5 linked regions of the Coturnix japonica genome follow. The protein of the gene in region 2 interacts with the protein of the main gene of each other region in a pairwise test. Links are inferred from orthologs where the notes say so. Each region holds a gene or a part of one and is shown on either strand. Other genes may lie near its edges. The genes, in order: CEP57, RALBP1, GSE1, TSFM and REPS1.

Region 1 (3,515 bases), on a different chromosome or scaffold from region 2:
ATTAGAATAAACAATACAGTAAAAAAAATAAAGAGCACCTTTGCACAAGTATGATCATAGGCAAGTAACTCACCTGCAGCCAATGCCTTCGAACTTTGTTGATCTGGTCTGCCTTTGCCTCCATCTTTCCCACTAGCACCTCCAGTTCCCTCTCCAGATCTTCCCTTACTGCAACGGTTGGAGCTTCCTGGACAAGCTTAGACAGCTGCTGGTGATCACTAACATAAAATATAGGCAGATCAAAGCTTGCAATAGACTCAGTGCTGGCATACACAGCCATGGTAGCAGCCTAACAAATTCAGCATGCAATAGTGAACCAGTAAGAACACTTATGGTAGTGAGTAGCTTCATTGAGTTTGCATATCCTGGCAGCAGGCTGCTGCAATGTGAAGTTGTCCATAACCAACAACTTCTACATGCACATTTAAAATTAAATGAAAGACCCCTTAAGGAAAAGAACTCAGCACTTGTTCAGGTACTACTTTATACATTTGCTTCTACTGCTGTTGTGCTGGCAGACAGTTCATCGCCTGTTAGCCAGGATGAGCAAGAGAGCTAGTCAAGCTGTCTTCCAATGGAATATTTGTTCATTGCATTGGGGGCTGTTACCACACTTCCCCCCAACCCCTCAAAAACACGACACTGCTGCACATAAACACTGCTGCACATAAACACACATACAGAGTCCCAACGGATTACCAGACTCAATCTGTAACTGCAATGAGAAATGAAAATCTCTGCAGCTACAACTAGATTACACGCCATAGACTTCCCAACATAAATGCTTCCCCCAGCAAAACTTTCTGACTTCAAAAGAAGAATATAAAGCACGTGCATCTGTGGTCTGCAGCATTAAATATATCAGACTTACAAACTCATCTGCCCAAACTCATCCTGTAAAGTCTGCAGAACTTCTGAGAGCTCTTCCTGCGATGAAGAACAGTCATTGGACAGAGGTGCCTTTCTGCTTCTGCTGGCAGGATGACCCGCACTGATGGGCTTTGCTAGAGGAGCATCATTCACCACGCGACTGTTGCACAAAGCTTTTGTGTGATGTTTCATGAGGTGTAGGACGTGTTGTACATTGGCACCAACTGAATGGCTGGGACTGGTAGACTAGAAGGAAAATACCTCTTTTAAGTGACATTGTCATCAACCTACTCATCTTACTGAAAAACGTAAATGAGAATTTATTTGCTACCAACATTTTTTTTTCTTTGAGTGGATATACATAACAGGAAGAGCCTGACCAGCAAGCAGCACAAAAGACCCGTGTTAGAAAACACCAGATTAACAAGCTTTTTGAAGATAAAAGAGCCAAGGAAAACAAGATCTGACCACTGGGTGTCAGGAGTGCACCGTGCCAAAGCCATTTAAGGAGCTGCAGCTACTGAGCATTAAGCCTTGGAATTCAGCAGCTCACCTTCCCAGCTACAAAGGGTACATCACCCAGACACAGTCTGTAATGGGGCTGCGTAGTGAGATGGCTTGTAAGAGAGCATTTCTGAAAGGAAAGAAGAGAGAAACGTTTATCAAAGATGACACTACAGCAAACCCACTGTGCCTCAGCTTTCTGATAAGAGGCAGCCTACTTTCTGACTGCATGCACACGATTTCACTTCTCAGTACCCACCCTTCTCTTCCCCATTACCTTCTCTGGCTGCTTAGTTTTCTTCCTGGGTTTTCTTGCTTTTGGAGAAAGCAGTGGTGATGCTGCTTGAATCAACAGTCTGTTGGTTTCCAGGCCTGTCTGAAGCTGCAATGAAGGGAATGAGAGAAATGATTAAAATCATATAATGGATTATCAGACAGGAGGTGCTCAGATTGGTAACAGAGCATCTTTTAAAACACAAGCTCTCCGAAAGCAAGGGCTGCAAGTGTGCAGATGCTCCTGCAGCTTAAATCTAAACACCAGATAAGAACATTTCCTTCAACAACACTTCTCATGGCTAATCCCAGTAAGTTAAAGAATGAGCTGTACTGAATAACTCCCATGCAGGCAGGCATCAAAACAGATGCTGTGTTTTATACTTTATAAAATAATAAGGAATTCAAGTGACCAGCCCTCCTCCATTGATTTTGTGGCATATACGCTCTGCTGTTCCTTCTTATTATGGCATTAGAAATCATCTCTCAAGCAATCACAAAACATTTATGATTGACTTGAGCTTATCGCTTACTGGAGAGGTCACAGAGCCCACCATGTTACCAAAATACTTATTCAACACACAACTGATGAGTACATAATGACCACAGGAGGCCATTGTCCTTCCTTACAGACTCACAGCCTCTTTCTTTGCCTCCTTATGCAGTGTTCCTAGTTACAGTTATAAAGGGAACACACTTCTTAACTAATTGATCTATTTAAAGCATAGATCTTCATTCATCCTCAGCTACAAATTAGTCTGAATTACTTTTCCAACCAGCTTCTCTTATTGAAAAAAAATTAAGGCTTAAGCGCACAGATGCTGTGAGAAAAAGGTTTCCAAGGCACTCAGAACATCAGGTGAGAGGATGGGGTGAAGACACCTAAGGGTGAAGGTGCAACCTGCATTCTGTATGGAGAAGACATAACCAGCAAACGTAGTCGAGATCTGATAAATCAAGAAGAGCTCCTTACAGCGCAGAGCAGTACAACACAATTCTCCTGCTGTTACCTCAGCTGCTTTTTCCTGGACAAGCTTCCTCGCGTGCTCTTCCTCCTGAAGTTTCTGTTCCAGCTCTTTCATTTTTTTCTAGTCAAAGTTGAACGAAAACAAAAGCATTACTAGCAAAGCAAATTCTTTATGAAGCTCACAATACCGAGAGGTTCAGCGGGAGTTTAGCAGCTCAACTTGCTACGTTAAGACTTTAGAACTAAAAATCACTGAAGCAATGCCACCTATACAGGCATAAATGCAACAGAGCAGTGGTTATGCTTTAAATAGAAATCATTTCTCCACTTTTACTTCCAGAATTGGTATTTGAATTCAAGTTGCAGCCTACAGGAAGAGTAATTTATGAGGCTGAACTCTGAGATAAGGGATTTTTTTTGACCATACAGTCACTTAATGAAGATTAGAATGGAAAGGCAACTTAACATCGTCCACCCATGACAGCGTGTCAGTTCTTGACTCCCACATGGGCAAAGTTTGCTGTTTAACCTGCTGCATATGACAGCTTTAATATGCGAATGCAGAAGCAAACCTTTTGTTTGAGCTGAAGACTGACAGGAAGCCAAACCAATGCTTTGGCACAAAAATAGACCAAGCATTCACTCAGTCAGTTGTTTTAGCTGGAGGGTATAGCTCAAGTTGTGCAGCAAGAACGTGTCTCACTACATCTTCAGTGACAGAAACACTGTGGAAATTCAGTGATATTCCCAAAGCATTTTTCTCCTTTCCTGCAATCAAATAGTATTCCAAAATCCCCCTTCCAAGCTCAGCTCTCAGAATGGTTATATCCCACAGGTAACGTAGAATCCTCAGCTATCACCAAGAGGTAAGCACTGAACTAAGTCTCAAACAACCTGAAAT
Region 2 (3,515 bases):
AACCCCCTGCTATGGGCAGGGACACCTCCCTCTAAACCAGGTGGCTCAAGGCCACATCCAGCCTGGCCTTCAATGCTTCCAAGGAGGGGCATCCACAACCTCATGGGACAGCCTGTTCCAGTGTCTCACTATCCTCACAGCAAAGAATTTCTTCCTAATATCTAGTCTGAATCTACTCTCTTCCAGTTTAAAGCCATTTCCCCTCATCCTGTTACTACCTGCCCTTATAAAATGTCCCCTCCACAACTTTCCTGTAGGTCCCCTTCAGGTACTGGAAGGCCACTGTAAGGTCCCCCCAGAGCCTTCTTTTCTCCAGGCTGAAGAGCCCCAACTCTCTCAGCCTGTCCTCATAGGGGAAGTGCTCCAGCTCTCTGACCACCTCTTTCTTTTTGCTCATGCAAAGGTGGAAGTGGTAGCAATAGGTAAGCAGGAGCACCAAACATTCTGTGCTATGGATGGGCTGCCTTCTCTCTTCTCCCAAAACTTCAGTATTTTCACCAACTTCTCTCTCAGATTCAAAACAGTTTAAAAAAAAATGGCTTGAAAGGAGCTGTTATCGTATTCCTTGCTTTAAAATGAGACAGAAGCAAATATTTATTCAGATGCTATGTCTTCCATTAACATTTAAAAACGCATCCTGAAAGAAGGATTGGAATTCTGTATACCCAAGTCATAGAATCATAGAATTACCCAGGTTGGAAAAGACCTTGAAGATTATCAAGTCCAACTGCACCCTAACCATAGTACCCTAACTCTAACAACCCTCTGCTAAATCATATCCCTGAGCACCACATCCAAATGGCTCTTAAACACATCCAGGGATGGCGATTCAACCACCTTCCTGGGGAGCCTATTCCAGTACATAACTACCCCTTCTGTAAAGAAGTTCTTCCTAATATCCAACCTAAACTTGCCCTGGCACAACTTGAGGCCATAAGTCATCACTGCATCAGCAAGATCTGTTTGCAGTACAGGGTTCAGTGGCTTGATAGTAAAATTAAGCAACAGAATAGTCTTCACTGAGTCATCACTGCATCAGAAACACAGAAATCCTACATCCGCTTGAATTAGCAGATTAATTCAATGTTGAATTACTTGTGCTCACGGAATAAAAAAGCCCAGTAAGCAATCTTTGCACTGTTTTCATAACAGCAGATACAAGACTAATACTATGCAAGCTCACCTTCAGAAAGTCTTCCCCCTCCCTACTTTCTGTGCATTTTATGTTCTCAAAGTATAAAGAAGAGATTTAATTCAGCTTAATTGTATCAGACAGTGCCTGATTCACACATGCAAGAGAACTCCTATGAAGAAACCTTTCTTGTGCTGACACTCTGCTCTAGCACCTGTGTGAGGCACATACCTGGACAGTAGGGCTGAGCACTATAGAAATATTCTGGATGTTCATTTTTGTTTCCAGTTCCTTTGCGATAACGTGGTCCATATGCACAATGAGCCAAGAAATGAGGAGATGGTTACACTCCGGCAGCTCTTTCAGCAGCCTCTGGCACTCCTGGACTTTCTCAGCTTCTGTGCTCTTTCCACAAGCATCTTCAAAGCGGGGCATTAGCTCTTTGGTAAGCAAGTTTTCAGGCAGTTCACGTAGGTACTGCTTCAGCAAGCTGGCTACTGTATTGGGCTCATATTCTTCCAGGTTGGGAGATTCTTCTCGGTCATAGGCTGCTTTGAGCTCATCGACTTTTGACTTTATTCCTGAAAATATTTAAATAAAGAATTAAGATGATTTTTCAGCTCTACATATATAATAGTTGTAATACTCTTATTTATTTATTTCTTTGAGAAGCTCTTCTCCTTACAAATTAAACTAATTGAAGAATAGCTTTTAAAGATCATTCACATGTGACAAAACTGCAACTCAGGATTAACATGGTCACTGTATTTAAAAGCACTGACCTCAGAGCTTCTGCCTGACATCCAATCTAAGCCTTCACTCTTTGAGTTTAAAACCACTCCTCCTTGTCCTATCACTGTTCACCCTTGTAAAAAGATGATTCCCCTTGTTGTTTCTCTCCATTTAATTTCTCCCAAGTTGTTCCATAACAGCTCTCAACCAAACAGCAAGTATGTCCTTATCAACTCCAATACTGTGCAAGAAATTCTAAACGTGAGCCTTCCTCTGTGAAACCAAGCCCACACAGTTTAGTTTTCAGGTTTTCAGCTGGAGAAATCTCACACAGCATTTTGGTTTGAGGCAATGTATGAATAAACACGGGGAAGTTCTTCACTAGGAGAGTGGTTAGGCCCTGGAACAGGCTGCCCAGGGAGGTTGTGGATGCCCCGTCCTTGGAGGTGTTCAAGACCAGGTTGGACAGGGCTCTGGGCAACCTGATCTAGTAAATGTGTATGTTTGGTGGCCCTGCCAGGCAGGGGGGTTGGAACTACATGATCCTTGAGGTCTCTTCCAACCCGGGTCATTCTGTGATTCTGTGTGTGAAACAGGTGTTCATGTAATTATTCAGACTTGCCAGTATTTTTGCACAGTGTTTTTACAACTCAGTGACATTCAAATCTTCCTCAAGTCAGAAAAGTTTCTTTCTTAAAGCTCAAACACCCATTTGGCTTTCAGTGACTTACTGCACTGCCATATGTTGGCTCTGGTACAATAAACAAAGCTGGGTGCACCCAGCCCACGGTAAATGCCAGCTAAAATGTGCTCTATTTCATGTCCCAATAAGTTACTCATCACAAGTGCTGGTACAGTGCTAGGCCGTTGTCATTCAGAGCCCTCAATTTAAGTACTCTCGCACACACCAGAGGGTGCTATTGCACTGGAGAACACCTGGATGGTACAAACATCAAAAACACCTTATGGAAAACAAACCTCCCGTGAACATCCCAACTCAGCCTGCCCTGAAAATAATGTACTGCCAGAATGGTCTCACGGGTGAGACTAAGAAACTGCTGAGCATCCCTACCAAGTACCATGCAGACCATCAGCATAAGGACAGCTGAATGAAGACGTTAGCAATTGTTTGATCACTGCTCTGCAGCACTGCTAATAACTTGTTCCGAGTGCTTTCCCCCAAGTTCCTTTTCTCACTTGTTTCTGCTCCCTTGAACGTGCACACTGAAACACTTGCTTGGGTTTCACTGCAAAGAGTTCACAAAGGGATTGTTTTGTTTAACACAGCTACAAACCACGCTGCTTTATGTAAGCAGGTGTTACACAACTCCTGTGGTTAATTATCCTGCTGTGGCTAAGCTTAAATGCGAAACTTGCATTTTCTGCTTATTAGTGACTTTGCCCAAACAAAAGAAGCTTTTAAAGAAGAAAATTATACACAGTAAAAAGCAACAGTGAGAAGCTTAAGTCGTAAAATGGTTATTTCTCATCCTTGCTTTTCCCATCAACTAGAATAGCATTTCTCATGCAGAAGTAATACAAATAAAAAGAATACAAGCTTGCCAATGCAGCACATTTTATTCATACTTACCATCACCCCATCACAACAGGTCTAATTAGATATATTTTTACCTCCTTTAAGCAGTACCAT
Region 3 (3,167 bases), on a different chromosome or scaffold from region 2:
CTCCCCACCCCTTCTCCCCCCTCTGTGCCCCCCAGGAACGAAGCGCTGCTCCAAGGGGTTCATGGACTTTATTGGTTATAGCCGAGTGCGGTGCTGGGGGAGCCCAAAGCTGGGGGGGGGTGGGGGGGTGATGGGAAGTGGGGGGTGGGATGAGAAGGAAGGGGTGCCCCCCTCCCCCTGCAGGGCTCCTCCAGCCTTAGTGTTGTGGGCGGTGGAGTCTTTCATCAGGACTTAGAAAACAAGAAATGAGCGATATAAAGTGTGTGTGTGTGTTGGGGGGGGTGGGGAGGGGGGCAGAAGGGTGGGGGGAGGACACAAGGTCAGAGCCCCCCCCTTCCCCTCCTTCCTCCCCCCCCCCTTCCTGCCGCCCTTTGCTTCATGCATGGCACATTCTCTGTTTCGTTTTCTTTTTTATTATTATTATTATTTATTATTATTATTATTATTCTTTTTTTTTTTCCTTCTATTTTTTTTTTCTTCTTCTTCGTTTTTTTTTCTTTTTTTTTTTTTTTTTTCTTTTTTAGCTTCAAACCTCCCCAGTGAAAAATATTAAATATTCAAGGTAATAAAATAGATTATTATTATTTCTAGACTATTATGTTCGGCCCGGCCCAAGGAGCGTCACCTGGGATACCCCTTGAAATAACCCCTAGACCACTGCATTGCAGGCAAGGCAAGGCACTTCCGCAGGTGATCCAGCTCCGCTTGCAGTCGCTCTCGTTCTGAGACGATCTTTTGCTTCTGGGTCCTTAATTCCTGTAGGGAGGAAAGAAAAGGGAACACGGTCAGGGAGGTGCAGGGGGTGGGATGGACATAGATGGGATGAACATAGAGGGGAATGGGGAACTGCAGGAGGATGGGGACCTTAGGGGAACATTAGGGGAGGAGGGGACATTAGGGGAGGATGGGGATGTTAAGGGAGGATGGGGACCTTAAGGGAGGATGGGGACCTAAAAGAGGATGGGAACATTAGGGGAGGATGGGGACATTTGGGGACGTTAGGGGAGGATGGGGACATTAGGGGAGGATGGGAACCTTAAGGGATGATGGGGATATTAGGGGACAATGAGGACCTTAAGGGGAGGATGGGGATGTTAGGGAAAGATGGGGACATTAGGGGAGGATGGGGACCTTAAGGAAGGATGGGGACCTTAAGGAGGATCGGGACATTAGGGGAGGATGGGGACATTTGGGGACGTTAGGGGAGGATGGGGATGTTAGGGGAGAATGAGGACCTTAGGGGAGGATGGGGACATTGCAGAAGGCTGGGGATAATGGGGAGACTGCATGAGGACTGGGACCATTGGAGGAGAATAGGGGGGATTGAAGGGGGATGGGGACACTGCAGGCGTATGGGGCCGTTGCAGGAGGATCAGGCACTACAGAGGATGGGGGTGTTTGTAGGACAATGGGGACAGTGCAAGAGAATGGGAAGGTTGCAGGGGATGGGGGCAGTGAGTGAAGATTTGGGGGTGCTGCAGGAGGATGGGGGAGACTGAAAAGAATGGGGAGCTGCAGGAGGGAGGATTTGGGGTTAATGCAAGAGGATGGGGGTATTGCAGGAGGATGGGGACCTTAGAGGACAATGGGGACCCTGCAGAAGGATGGGTGCCTCTCTGGGAGGCCAGGGTGCCATACGGAGTCCAGGTGCCCCCCCAGAAGCCCCACTCACCGCCATGCTGTGCGAAAGCTGCTCTGCTGTCAGGCTCAGGCTGTAGTGCTGGGCCTCCAGCCGCCGGCACTGTGTCTGCAGCACTTGGCGCTCCAGGTTTTGTTCTGCAATGCACAGGGATGGGGTGAGCATCTGAAAGCCATCACTCCCTGCCAGCCCCAGGACAAAACCTCCTCCCTTTGCCAGCAGGGTGGGAAAGGTCTGGCTGTCAAAGCCTGGGGGCAGCAGGGCATGACGTGATGCTTGGTGACATGGCCCTGTGGCTAACACCCCACCAAGCCCCATTCCCCAGTCCTTACCTTCTATATGTTCTTGGTAAGCTTCAAAAATTGCCTCGATCCCTTGCCACTTGGGCCTGGGGCACTCCTCTTCATCTTCCTCCTCATCTTCCTCCTCCTCATCCTCAGAGGCCGAGTCACGGCGGTCCCGTGGCAGCGGTGGGGCGAGTGCCCTGTGCCCTTCAGCCGTGCCATTATGTGGGGCAGGAGGGCGGCTGGAGGCCTGAAGCTCAGGGATGTTGTAGTGGATGGAGGCGTCCAGTTTGTGGTTCTGCTCCGCCGTCCCCCCTGCAGGCACAGAGTGTCAGCCCCCCTTCCCTGCTGACTTTTCTCAGCCCCACAAATGAGTTTTGCTGCCTGTGCTGTGTTTTCCCAGCACATTTTTGCCTCTCCATCATCCTTCCCAGGGATTCCCTGGGACTGGGGTTAACAAATGCCTTTTCCCACAGTGCCAACCCACAGATTTCCTCCCTATATCCCCATGGGGTCCCTGCCCCGGCTCGGTACCTTTGTGCTTTTGCAACGCCTTCTGTGTGGACTGCAGCACGGACTCGTGGAACTGGTGGGCAAACTCCTCAGCAATGAAGGGCTCCCAAGGTTTGCTTTTGCCATTCATGCTGTGGGACAGCGGCACAGGGATGTCCTTGGGCAGAGGGCCCCTGACGTAGCTGAGGATGCTCAGTGCCTTCTTCCCCGTGTGCCCATCGCTCAACCGGGGCTTCTCAGCTGGTTCCTTCACCCTGGGCAGCTCTGCAGCTCTCAGAGGCTCCACTCTGCCCGGCTCCGATGGCTTCTGCACCTCAGGCACGGAGGTGACAATACCCACAGGCTTATCGGGGTCCAGCAGCAGCGGTGGCTCTTGGGGTAGATAAGGAGAAGTGTTGGCACAGTGGTGCCCAATTGGGCACAGGAGGTGAATAGGGAAAGTGGAATGGAGGAGCTTACCAGCATTGGGGCCAATGGGGCTGTCCTGCGGAGAGCTCTTCACCACCACAGCAGCCGGCGTGGGCTTCTGCTTCATGGCCTGCAGCATCTCCACCAGCTTCTCCTTGTCTGCCGCATGGGAAGCTGAGGTTTAGTGTAGCCTCTGCTCAGCCGGGCACCAGGCAGCCCCGCGGCACGGGGACGGGGACCCCCACCCCAGCACGGGGCATGGCGTTACCTTTCCTCTTTTCGGCGCTGATGTGCGTGAGGTTGAAGATGGTGAGGAAGCGTTT
Region 4 (4,019 bases), on a different chromosome or scaffold from region 2:
ATGGGACCCAAATGGGACCAGAATAACACAGGGATGGAGCTGGGATGGAGCTGGGATGGCACCACATCAGCACTGAGGTTGGAACAGCACAAAAGTAGCACCAAAATGGGACCCAAATGGGACCAGAATCACTCAGGGATGACCTGCCCCCTTTGTGACCCCCCGTGTCCCCAATACCCCCTCACTGTGTCCCCATCACATCCCCACTGTGTCCCCCCATCCCCAACCCACACAGTCGTTCCATTCCTCTAATTACAGCACTGCGCTCATTAATGCTCATTATCTTCTGTCCCGTTGCTGCCCCCGCCCCATCCATAGGCACTGAGGTCCCCAAATGTGTCCCCCCCCTCCCCCCAGTGGCATCACCCAGCAGCACAGGGAGGACCCAACAACAAACCCCCCCAAAGGCCGCACTGAGGGGCTCTAAGCCCCCCCCCCACTGCCCCATAGCAAGGGGCGTTTGTAACCGGGGGTGGGGAGCAGAAATGGCATTAAAGAACGGAGCAGAAAGTGATGGGTGAATGCAGGCTGTATTGGGGGGGAGCAGCCACAAAGGGATCCGCTGCTCAGCCCAGGGCACAAGGCAGCCCCACAGCTCTGCCCCTCTCATCCCCACAGCTCTGCCCCATCCATCCCCACAGCTCCAACCCCCCCTCAGCCCCACAGACCCCCCCCCTCAGTCCCGCTCCTCCTCCCCGCACTGGAACCGCACAAAATCCAGCACCGTCACCCCGTGGGCCCGCAGGAACTCGGCGACTGTCACAGCGGGCTGCAGCACGAAGCTCTGTGCCAACAGCCGCGTCTCCTCCTCCTCCTCCTCCTCCTCCTTCCTCCCCCCCGCCCCATCCCCGGGGTCTCCCACGCTGGTGGGCGCCATCCCCACCACGTGCTGCGCCACCTTCCTGCCCACGGCAGCGGGATCGGGGCTGACCCCCGGCTCCGTCACCCTGCAGGCGACCAGCGCCCCATAGCGACCCAGAGCTGGCACCGAGTGCGACGGGGGGGGCTCCCCGGGGGGGGGGCCGTGGGTGTAGGAGGCGATGAAGCAGTCGGGGGGGACAGCCAGGAACGCGGCACGGCGAAGGGTCATCTTCTCACCCATGGAGCCTGGGGGGGAATGAGGGGACGTGGGGACACGGGGGGGACAATGAGGGGGTCGGGGGGGGGACACAAATTAAACGCCTCCTTACCAATGGTGAGCTCCAGGCGCTCACTGAGCTGAGCCCCCCCCGGCTCCGTCCGCAGCTGGGAGAGCTCCACGGGGCTCAGGAAGCGCTGGGGGGACACAAAGGGGGCGGGGGGGCAGATGGGACCGAGCGGCTCAACTCACAGCCCCCACAGCCCCCATAACCCCCACAGCCCCCACAGCCCCCATAACCCCCACAGCCCCCATAACCCCCCGGTCCCTATGGGGTGGTGATGCCCTGAGCTCGTCCCACCTTGACGCATCCCGTGGGGGGGTCGGGGCTGTGGCAGCTGCTCATGGCGCCCAACGCGGCGTCACGAACCAACTGCTGGAAGGCGGCGTTACGGGCCACAAAGTCGGTCTCACAGTTCACCTGGGGGGGGAGAAGGGGGGGATCAGGATGAGCACAGTGACAGCTCCATGACCCCCCACAGAACCACATACCCCCATAGAACCATATACCCCCATATACCCCCCATAGAACCCCATCTCCCCCATAGAACCATATACCCCCCATAGAACCATATATCCCCCATGTAACCCCCCATAGAACCATGTACCCCCCATGTCACCCCCCATAGAACCATATAACCCCCATATACCCCCATATAACCCCCCATAGAATCATATACCCCCATATAACCCCCCATATAACCATATACCCCCATCCCCCCCCGGCCGTACCTCCACCATGACTCCGCAGTTCCCCCGTACCACGGTTCCCATCAGTCCGTCCTTTGCCGCCCGTTCCCGCAGTTGCTCCGCCCGGTGCCGCCCGTCCCGCCGCGCCCGGACCAGGAGCAGCGCCTCGGCCTGGGGACAACGGGACAGAACGGGAACAGACGGGGGTGAACGGGAACAGACGGGGGTGAACGGGAACAGCTGGGGGTGATGAGCCCCGCCCCGGGTCCCCCCGTTCTCCGGTACCTGCCGTTCATCCCCCCCGCTGTCCCGCAGCGCCTCCGCGCACGCTCCGAACGGCAGCCCGGTGCTTTTCCGCAGCCGCAGCAGCGCGTCTTTATCCGCCCGTAGCGCCGGGCGGGCGGCGGAGAAACAGCGAACGGCGGAACGGAAACCGGCCTGAGGGGGGAGAGAGAACGGGAGCAACGGGAAGAACGGGTAGGGCCCAGCAGGCCACACTAGGCCTCACTAGGCCCCGTTAGGCCCCACTGAGCCCCGTTATACCCCATCAGGCCCCATTAAGCCCCGTTATGCCTCGTTATGCCCCATTGTGCCCCGTTATACCCCGTTATACCCCGTGATGTCCCCGCTCCCTCCCGGTTCCGCTCACCCACACCGCGCGCTGCATCCCCGCTTCTCTCACGCCCGCAGGCGGCGCGAGGCTATGACGTCACAACGCGGCGCGAACAAATGACGTCACTCGCTACGGATGCCGACTATGGACATTTCGGTACAGCGCTTGAGCAGTGCGACCTTTAGAGGAGCTTAAAGCGCCCCAAAAACACGAGATTCGGGTTAAAAAACACCAAAATTCCCTTTATTCAAAAGAAAGGGCGAGAAAACGGCCCCGCTGCCCCAAGATGGGGCGGGTTTGGGGCACATGGAATAGATCTGGGAGCCCTCAGCAGCCTTCAATCCAGCCCACGGCCCCATTAACTTCAATGAGGCCCATAAACCCACCCCAGCACCAGCATCACCCACCATCATCCACCATCATCCACCATCATCCACCATCACTGCAGGACGGGACGGTGCTGGTGCTGCTGTTGGTGCTGATACTGGTGCTGATATTGGTTCTGCTGTTGGTGCTGATATTGGTGCTGATGTTGGTGCCTATGATGGTGTCTATGATGGTGCTGATGATGTTGGTGCTGCCCCTGGTGCCATCACAGTGTCCCATCACTCACTCAGGTCTCCTGCTCCCCGTGCTGTTCTATGGGGCTGCAGCCGTTGCTGTCCCTGCGCCGTGTCACCCTGTACAGCCCCACGTCACTGTCCTTGTGATGCCGCAGCAGCCGCACACAGAAATGCACCGGCAGCAGCTCCCAGAAGAACCCGGCGGTGCCCAATTGCGGCCGCATCCCGCAGCTCAGGAAGGCGACGGACCGAGGCCCACAGAGCTGCAGCAGCGTGTCCAGCAGCGCTGGGAAACAACGCGGGTCATAAACCACATCGGCCCCCAACACCACGTCGTAACTGTGCGGGATGGAGCCCAGCGCCCGGCCCCACGGCAGCGCCTGGACACGGACACGGCCCCGAGACGCTGCCACCGCTGCTGCGTTCAGCTCCGTGTTGGTACGGAGCTGCTCCAGGGCCAGGGGGAGGTCGGTGAGCGTCACATCACCTCCTATGGGGGAGAGGGGAGGGAAAGGGGGGAGGAAAGGGGAGAGGGAAAGGGAAGGAGGGGAGAGGGAAAGGGAAGAGGGAAAGGGGGGAAGGCAGCTCAGCTCTCCCCACCCCAAACCCCCCCCATGCCGCCCCCATTCACAGCCCCACAGACTCTTTGTCGGGGTCCCACGTTGGGGGTCGTGCCCCCCCCCCCCCATGTTCTCACCCAGCATCGCAGCCAGGATCCCCACGATGCCGGTCCCGGCTCCCAGCTCGATGACGGTTCGGCCGCTGAAATCCATGCGCTGCTCCTCGAAGAAGCGGCACAGACACAGCGCCGGGGGGGGGCACAGTGATGGGGGGGGGCACAGTGATAGGGGGGGGGGCACAGTGTGTGTGTGTGGGGGGGTCACAGTGATGGGGGTATTTGGGGACCCTCAGCCCCCCCCCCGTCCCGGTTCCCCCCGTTTCTCTCACCCCGTCCCAAACAGCCGCCGCCATCCCGAGCCGCGGCCCGTGGTGCTGCGCGATGCGGAGGACGCGG
Region 5 (3,993 bases), on a different chromosome or scaffold from region 2:
ATACTAACTGCTGTGAAGTAGTGCTATTCTCACTGTGGCAGTGCTAAGGCTGCCCCTTTTTAGGTATATACTATGTATCATGTGCAGCTTTTCATTCAGAGTTTTTGTTGCCTTGTGAGAGTATGATTTATATACATTAACTGCAACTGTTTCAGTCTTCTGTGCCTTCATTCCTTCTCCTTTACCAGGCAGCTGAGGGAACCCTTACAGCCGGCAAGGAAATTGATTAAGAGCAGTTACTAACTTTTCATGCTGTAAGACATATAAAATAAACATAACCCTTTGCAGGAAAAATTGCTTGTACATTCACCCCCAAAGAACAGACTTGGAAACAAAACAAGTTACGGGCCCAGAAATGCAATTAAGTCACACATGTTCATTTTCAACAGAGTCAATCCCGAGGTTATTTACAGACCCACAGGACTGAAGAGCGAAACCTCAGGTAGCTCCTCAGGACAACCTGGTGCCTGTGAATTTGAAGAGCAGCAATTTTGCACTGTTTTGCATTTCACACGACTACTACCACAACTGCATTCCAGGATTATATAAGGTTTGAGAAACTGAATTGAGTTCCTTTCCGTCACAGACATCAGGTGCTTCAAATGAACAGGTAAGGGCACAGTACTGTATGGTTAAAGGAAAATCCCACATCCAATCACACTGTCTCATTATTTCATGAGCTCTATCATTTGGAGGTTTTAGTTTTACATTCTTAGCTTCTAAGCAGCAAATACAATTTCCTTTGGAAATACAATGTTTCGGTGCAGGTATCAAGCAGAGGCATATTTTGCTGAGACCAAGAGCTACGCAACTAGAGTCTGTCCTTAAATACAAGGTACTTCACAGGTGACCCACAGCGATTGCACAAGCCATCCGAAGTGAGTCACACTGCTAAGGGCATCTTGACTTTCTTTGTATTATTTACAGTTTCATACCTCATGCAATCTAACATCTCCTTTGCCATTTGAACTGCAAGGTTTTTCTTGCGATCTCCACCGAGATAAGCTTGGTCTGCTCCTTAAGTTTGCTTATTTAGAAACCATGGAATGATGAATGAGTAGTTTATTGTTCCTTCAGTTGTGCTCTACTTTGCCAGAAAATACTTCACCTACTCTGCAACAGATAAGGACATAATCTGTGGCCACTTGCATTCAAAATTCCAAGTCTCTCCAAGTTCTTGTACCCAGTGCTCACACAAAGCAAACTCTAGTACTAGTCCGGATCCCTGTGTAGATAAAACAGGCAAGTTTTATGGAAAAAGAGATTTTTAAATGGAACAAACTTGTAAACACTCACTTTCCCGGGATGATTCTTCTGAAACGTGCTGGCCACATGCAAAAAGCAGCAGTGGGTGGCCTTGAGAAAGCTCATTCACAAAACACCAAGCACACAGACTCTAACCATTCAGTCCTGTCTGACAAGTCATCAAATAAAAGATTACTAGTTTTACCAGTAAGAAGTTTTCCTTATTCAGCCCTCTCCTCCTTTATTTCTATTTAAAAACAACCACTGCACACAATCACCTTTCCCACTGAGCTGGAGCACATGATTCAAGGCATCTGAAGTCCTTTTAACTAACCCACTTGCACTTACCAGCCCAGAACAAATCAGTAATCCTCGTTAAGCATAAGTATTCTCCTGGAATCTGGTAATAAAGTGCTGAACGCTGACATTTGTGTACTATATTTCTGGCTACAGTAACTGTTGCTTTGTTAGAAGGGGCCTCTCATCTAGCCAAGAAGAGGATGTAAGTGCAGAGAAGATACGAACGGCTTTTACCAAACAGTTCTACCAAAAGCGTTCTTTCCAGGTAGCTCAAAAAGCTACATAAGTATGGAACTGGGAACTCCAAAAGCAGGAAACTGCTACAAACAGGTGTTGGTGAGAATGATTCACTGGGAATACTTTCCTCAAGCGATCGCAAGAGGCACATCGGAGCTGATTCTGCTACAGCAGTAGCTCCGTCCTACTACTACCAGCTTTTAGATGTTATCTGCTCATGGAAGCAGTGTGAAAAATCTTATATACATTGTGAGTATGGAGCTACATCGTTCTTAACACTGCATTTTCCAGCGTTAGAAATATTTTGTTAACTACAGTCAGTATCTGCCACGAGCCCTCATAAAACCGTGTGATTTGGGATGAAACAAGACTAGATTCACTAACACCCAACGGCAGAAACCCATACTCCCTCCATCCACACGCTGCAGGACGGCCCCTTCCCACACAGCAAAGCACTCCAGGGTTCTCTGGACGGCCTCAAACACAGCAACACCCCACTAGTCGCTGTACCGGAGGTTACCAGCAGCCCCATCCCGCCCCACAGGCCCCACGCACCCAACAGCGGTGCCCTACGCGAGGGCACACGCCACAGCCTCTCCGTTCCACCTCCCCGGGCTCAGGTGGTCGCCGCCGGCCCGGACAAAAGCTCCGCTCCCCGCGTGGGCTGCGGCCGGGCCGGGCGAGGCGGCGGCGGGGAGGAGCGGCAGCGCGGAGCGAGGCCGTCTCCCCACCGCGGGTATGAGGCGCGGGGCGGTGCCCGGGCTGGGGTCCGGCACGGCTATACCTGCATCACCACGTCGTTGGGCAGCTGCGCGGCGCGGAAGAGCTCCAAGACGCGCCCGTTGGACGCCACCTTCTTGGTGCTCTCGGTGTCGCAGTAGGAGAAGAGGTCGCAGTAGTAGCGCTGCTCCGCCTCGCTCAGCGTCAGGCCCTCCATCTTACGCCCCGGTTCCGCGCGGCGCTGCCGCCGTCCCGCATCCAGCGGCGGCGGCGGAAGCGACGGCCCCGGAGCGGGAGGGGGCGGCACGAGGCCCGGATGTGGGGGCCGCCGGTAGCGCCACCTTCCGTCTGGAGGTGGAGCTCCAGAAATAATGACTGAGTGTTGAGTGAGCAAATGTGAGAAGTTAACCAATAAGCAATATATTCGCTGGAACAGGCTGCCCAGGGATGGTGGTGGGTTTGCCTCCTTCTCTGGAGATTATTCCAAGACCTGCCTGGACGCCTACCTGTGTGATGTGGTGTAGGAGCTCGCTTTTGGCGGGGGTTGCGACTCGCATGATCTCTAGAGGTCCTTCAACCCCTACAATTCTGTGATTCTGTGATTCTGTGATATGCTTGGGCTACCAGAAAATTTCAGGTCCAGAGGAGGGCCACCAAAGGATGATCAGGGGGGCTGGAGCACCTCCCCTATGAGGACGGTGCTGAGGGAGTTGGGTTATGTTCAGCCTAGAGAAGAGAAGTGTTGCAGGGTGACCTCATTGCAGCCTTTTCAGTACCTGAAGGGAACTTACTCCCAGGAAGGAAGTAAAACTCTTTGAAAGGGCTGACAATAGCAGGACCACGGGGAAATGTTTTAAGTTGAAGAGGGAAGATTTAGGTTGGATGTTAGGGGGAAGTTCTTCACTAGGAGAAGTGGTTAGGCCCTGGAACATGGCTGCCCAGGAGGTTGTGGATTCCCCTCCTGGAGGTGTTCAAGACCAGGTTGGACGGGGCCCTGGGCAACCTGATCTAGTAAATGTGTATGTTTGGTGGCCCTGCCAGGCAGGGGGGTTGGAACTACATGATCCTTGAGGTCCCTTCAAACCCGGGTCATTCTGTGATTCTGTGAAATTTAATTTTATCCAGTACCTGTATGTACTGGATATAAACCTGGGACGATTGTGAACCTGAAATACTCAGCCAAAGAGGAACCAGGGGAGAAAAAGATAAGTAATGACATAAAAGCTGTAATGCTGTTTTCTGCTCATGCTCCTGCTTGCAGGATGCTCACCATTGCGATAATGAATAAAATCTGCTTTATAACAGATACTGTCCTGATAAATTATTTAGATATCTACAATATGGGGAGCCTGTTCCAGCTCACTGCCCTCTGGCGAAGAACCACAGTTGGATGAGTTTGCTCACCCCTTCACCCAGATCTCCTGTTCTGCCAGTCTTTCATTTATGCTTTTCCATGATGCCAGGTGTTCACTAGGTCAGCATGGTCTTGCT

The links.
Region 1: the proteins of RALBP1 (region 2) and CEP57 interact in binary tests that used the Homo sapiens proteins (3 or more experiments, as listed by UniProt). The two-hybrid records come from large-scale screens. The link is inferred for Coturnix japonica from reciprocal best matches to the Homo sapiens genes RALBP1 and CEP57.
Region 3: the proteins of RALBP1 (region 2) and GSE1 interact in binary tests that used the Homo sapiens proteins (3 or more experiments, as listed by UniProt). The link is inferred for Coturnix japonica from reciprocal best matches to the Homo sapiens genes RALBP1 and GSE1.
Region 4: the proteins of RALBP1 (region 2) and TSFM interact in binary tests that used the Homo sapiens proteins (3 or more experiments, as listed by UniProt). The two-hybrid records come from large-scale screens. The link is inferred for Coturnix japonica from reciprocal best matches to the Homo sapiens genes RALBP1 and TSFM.
Region 5: the proteins of RALBP1 (region 2) and REPS1 interact in binary tests that used the Homo sapiens proteins (3 or more experiments, as listed by UniProt). The link is inferred for Coturnix japonica from reciprocal best matches to the Homo sapiens genes RALBP1 and REPS1.

What each region holds. Positions count from the first base shown.
Region 1 is NC_029516.1:165,697,367-165,700,881, forward strand, and holds part of CEP57 (centrosomal protein of 57 kDa), read right to left. Parts: intron 2,736-3,515; coding exon 2,658-2,735; intron 1,757-2,657; coding exon 1,652-1,756; intron 1,505-1,651; coding exon 1,424-1,504; intron 1,117-1,423; coding exon 872-1,116; intron 219-871; coding exon 74-218; intron 1-73. UniProt on the Homo sapiens protein: Centrosomal protein which may be required for microtubule attachment to centrosomes. May act by forming ring-like structures around microtubules. Mediates nuclear translocation and mitogenic activity of the internalized growth factor FGF2, but that of FGF1.
Region 2 is NC_029517.1:88,793,203-88,796,717, forward strand, and holds part of RALBP1 (ralA-binding protein 1), read right to left. Parts: intron 1,714-3,515; coding exon 1,364-1,713; intron 1-1,363. UniProt on the Homo sapiens protein: Multifunctional protein that functions as a downstream effector of RALA and RALB. As a GTPase-activating protein/GAP can inactivate CDC42 and RAC1 by stimulating their GTPase activity.
Region 3 is NC_029526.1:15,698,912-15,702,078, forward strand, and holds the end of GSE1 (genetic suppressor element 1), read right to left. Parts: coding exon 3,113-3,167; intron 3,019-3,112; coding exon 2,896-3,018; intron 2,809-2,895; coding exon 2,458-2,808; intron 2,239-2,457; coding exon 1,972-2,238; intron 1,777-1,971; coding exon 1,673-1,776; intron 757-1,672; coding exon 622-756; 3' UTR 502-621; downstream 1-501.
Region 4 is NC_029544.1:1,424,708-1,428,726, forward strand, and holds TSFM (elongation factor Ts, mitochondrial), read right to left. Parts: upstream 2,522-4,019; 5' UTR 2,496-2,521; coding exon 2,442-2,495; intron 2,267-2,441; coding exon 2,114-2,266; intron 2,000-2,113; coding exon 1,871-1,999; intron 1,560-1,870; coding exon 1,440-1,559; intron 1,276-1,439; coding exon 1,191-1,275; intron 1,108-1,190; coding exon 677-1,107; 3' UTR 511-676; downstream 1-510. Other genes in the region: EEF1AKMT3 (EEF1A lysine methyltransferase 3), read right to left, coding at 3,055-3,494, 3,702-3,814, 3,954-4,019. UniProt on the Homo sapiens protein: Associates with the EF-Tu.GDP complex and induces the exchange of GDP to GTP. It remains bound to the aminoacyl-tRNA.EF-Tu.GTP complex up to the GTP hydrolysis stage on the ribosome.
Region 5 is NC_029518.1:48,937,381-48,941,373, reverse strand, and holds the start of REPS1 (ralBP1-associated Eps domain-containing protein 1), read right to left. Parts: upstream 2,803-3,993; 5' UTR 2,720-2,802; coding exon 2,567-2,719; intron 1-2,566. UniProt on the Homo sapiens protein: May coordinate the cellular actions of activated EGF receptors and Ral-GTPases.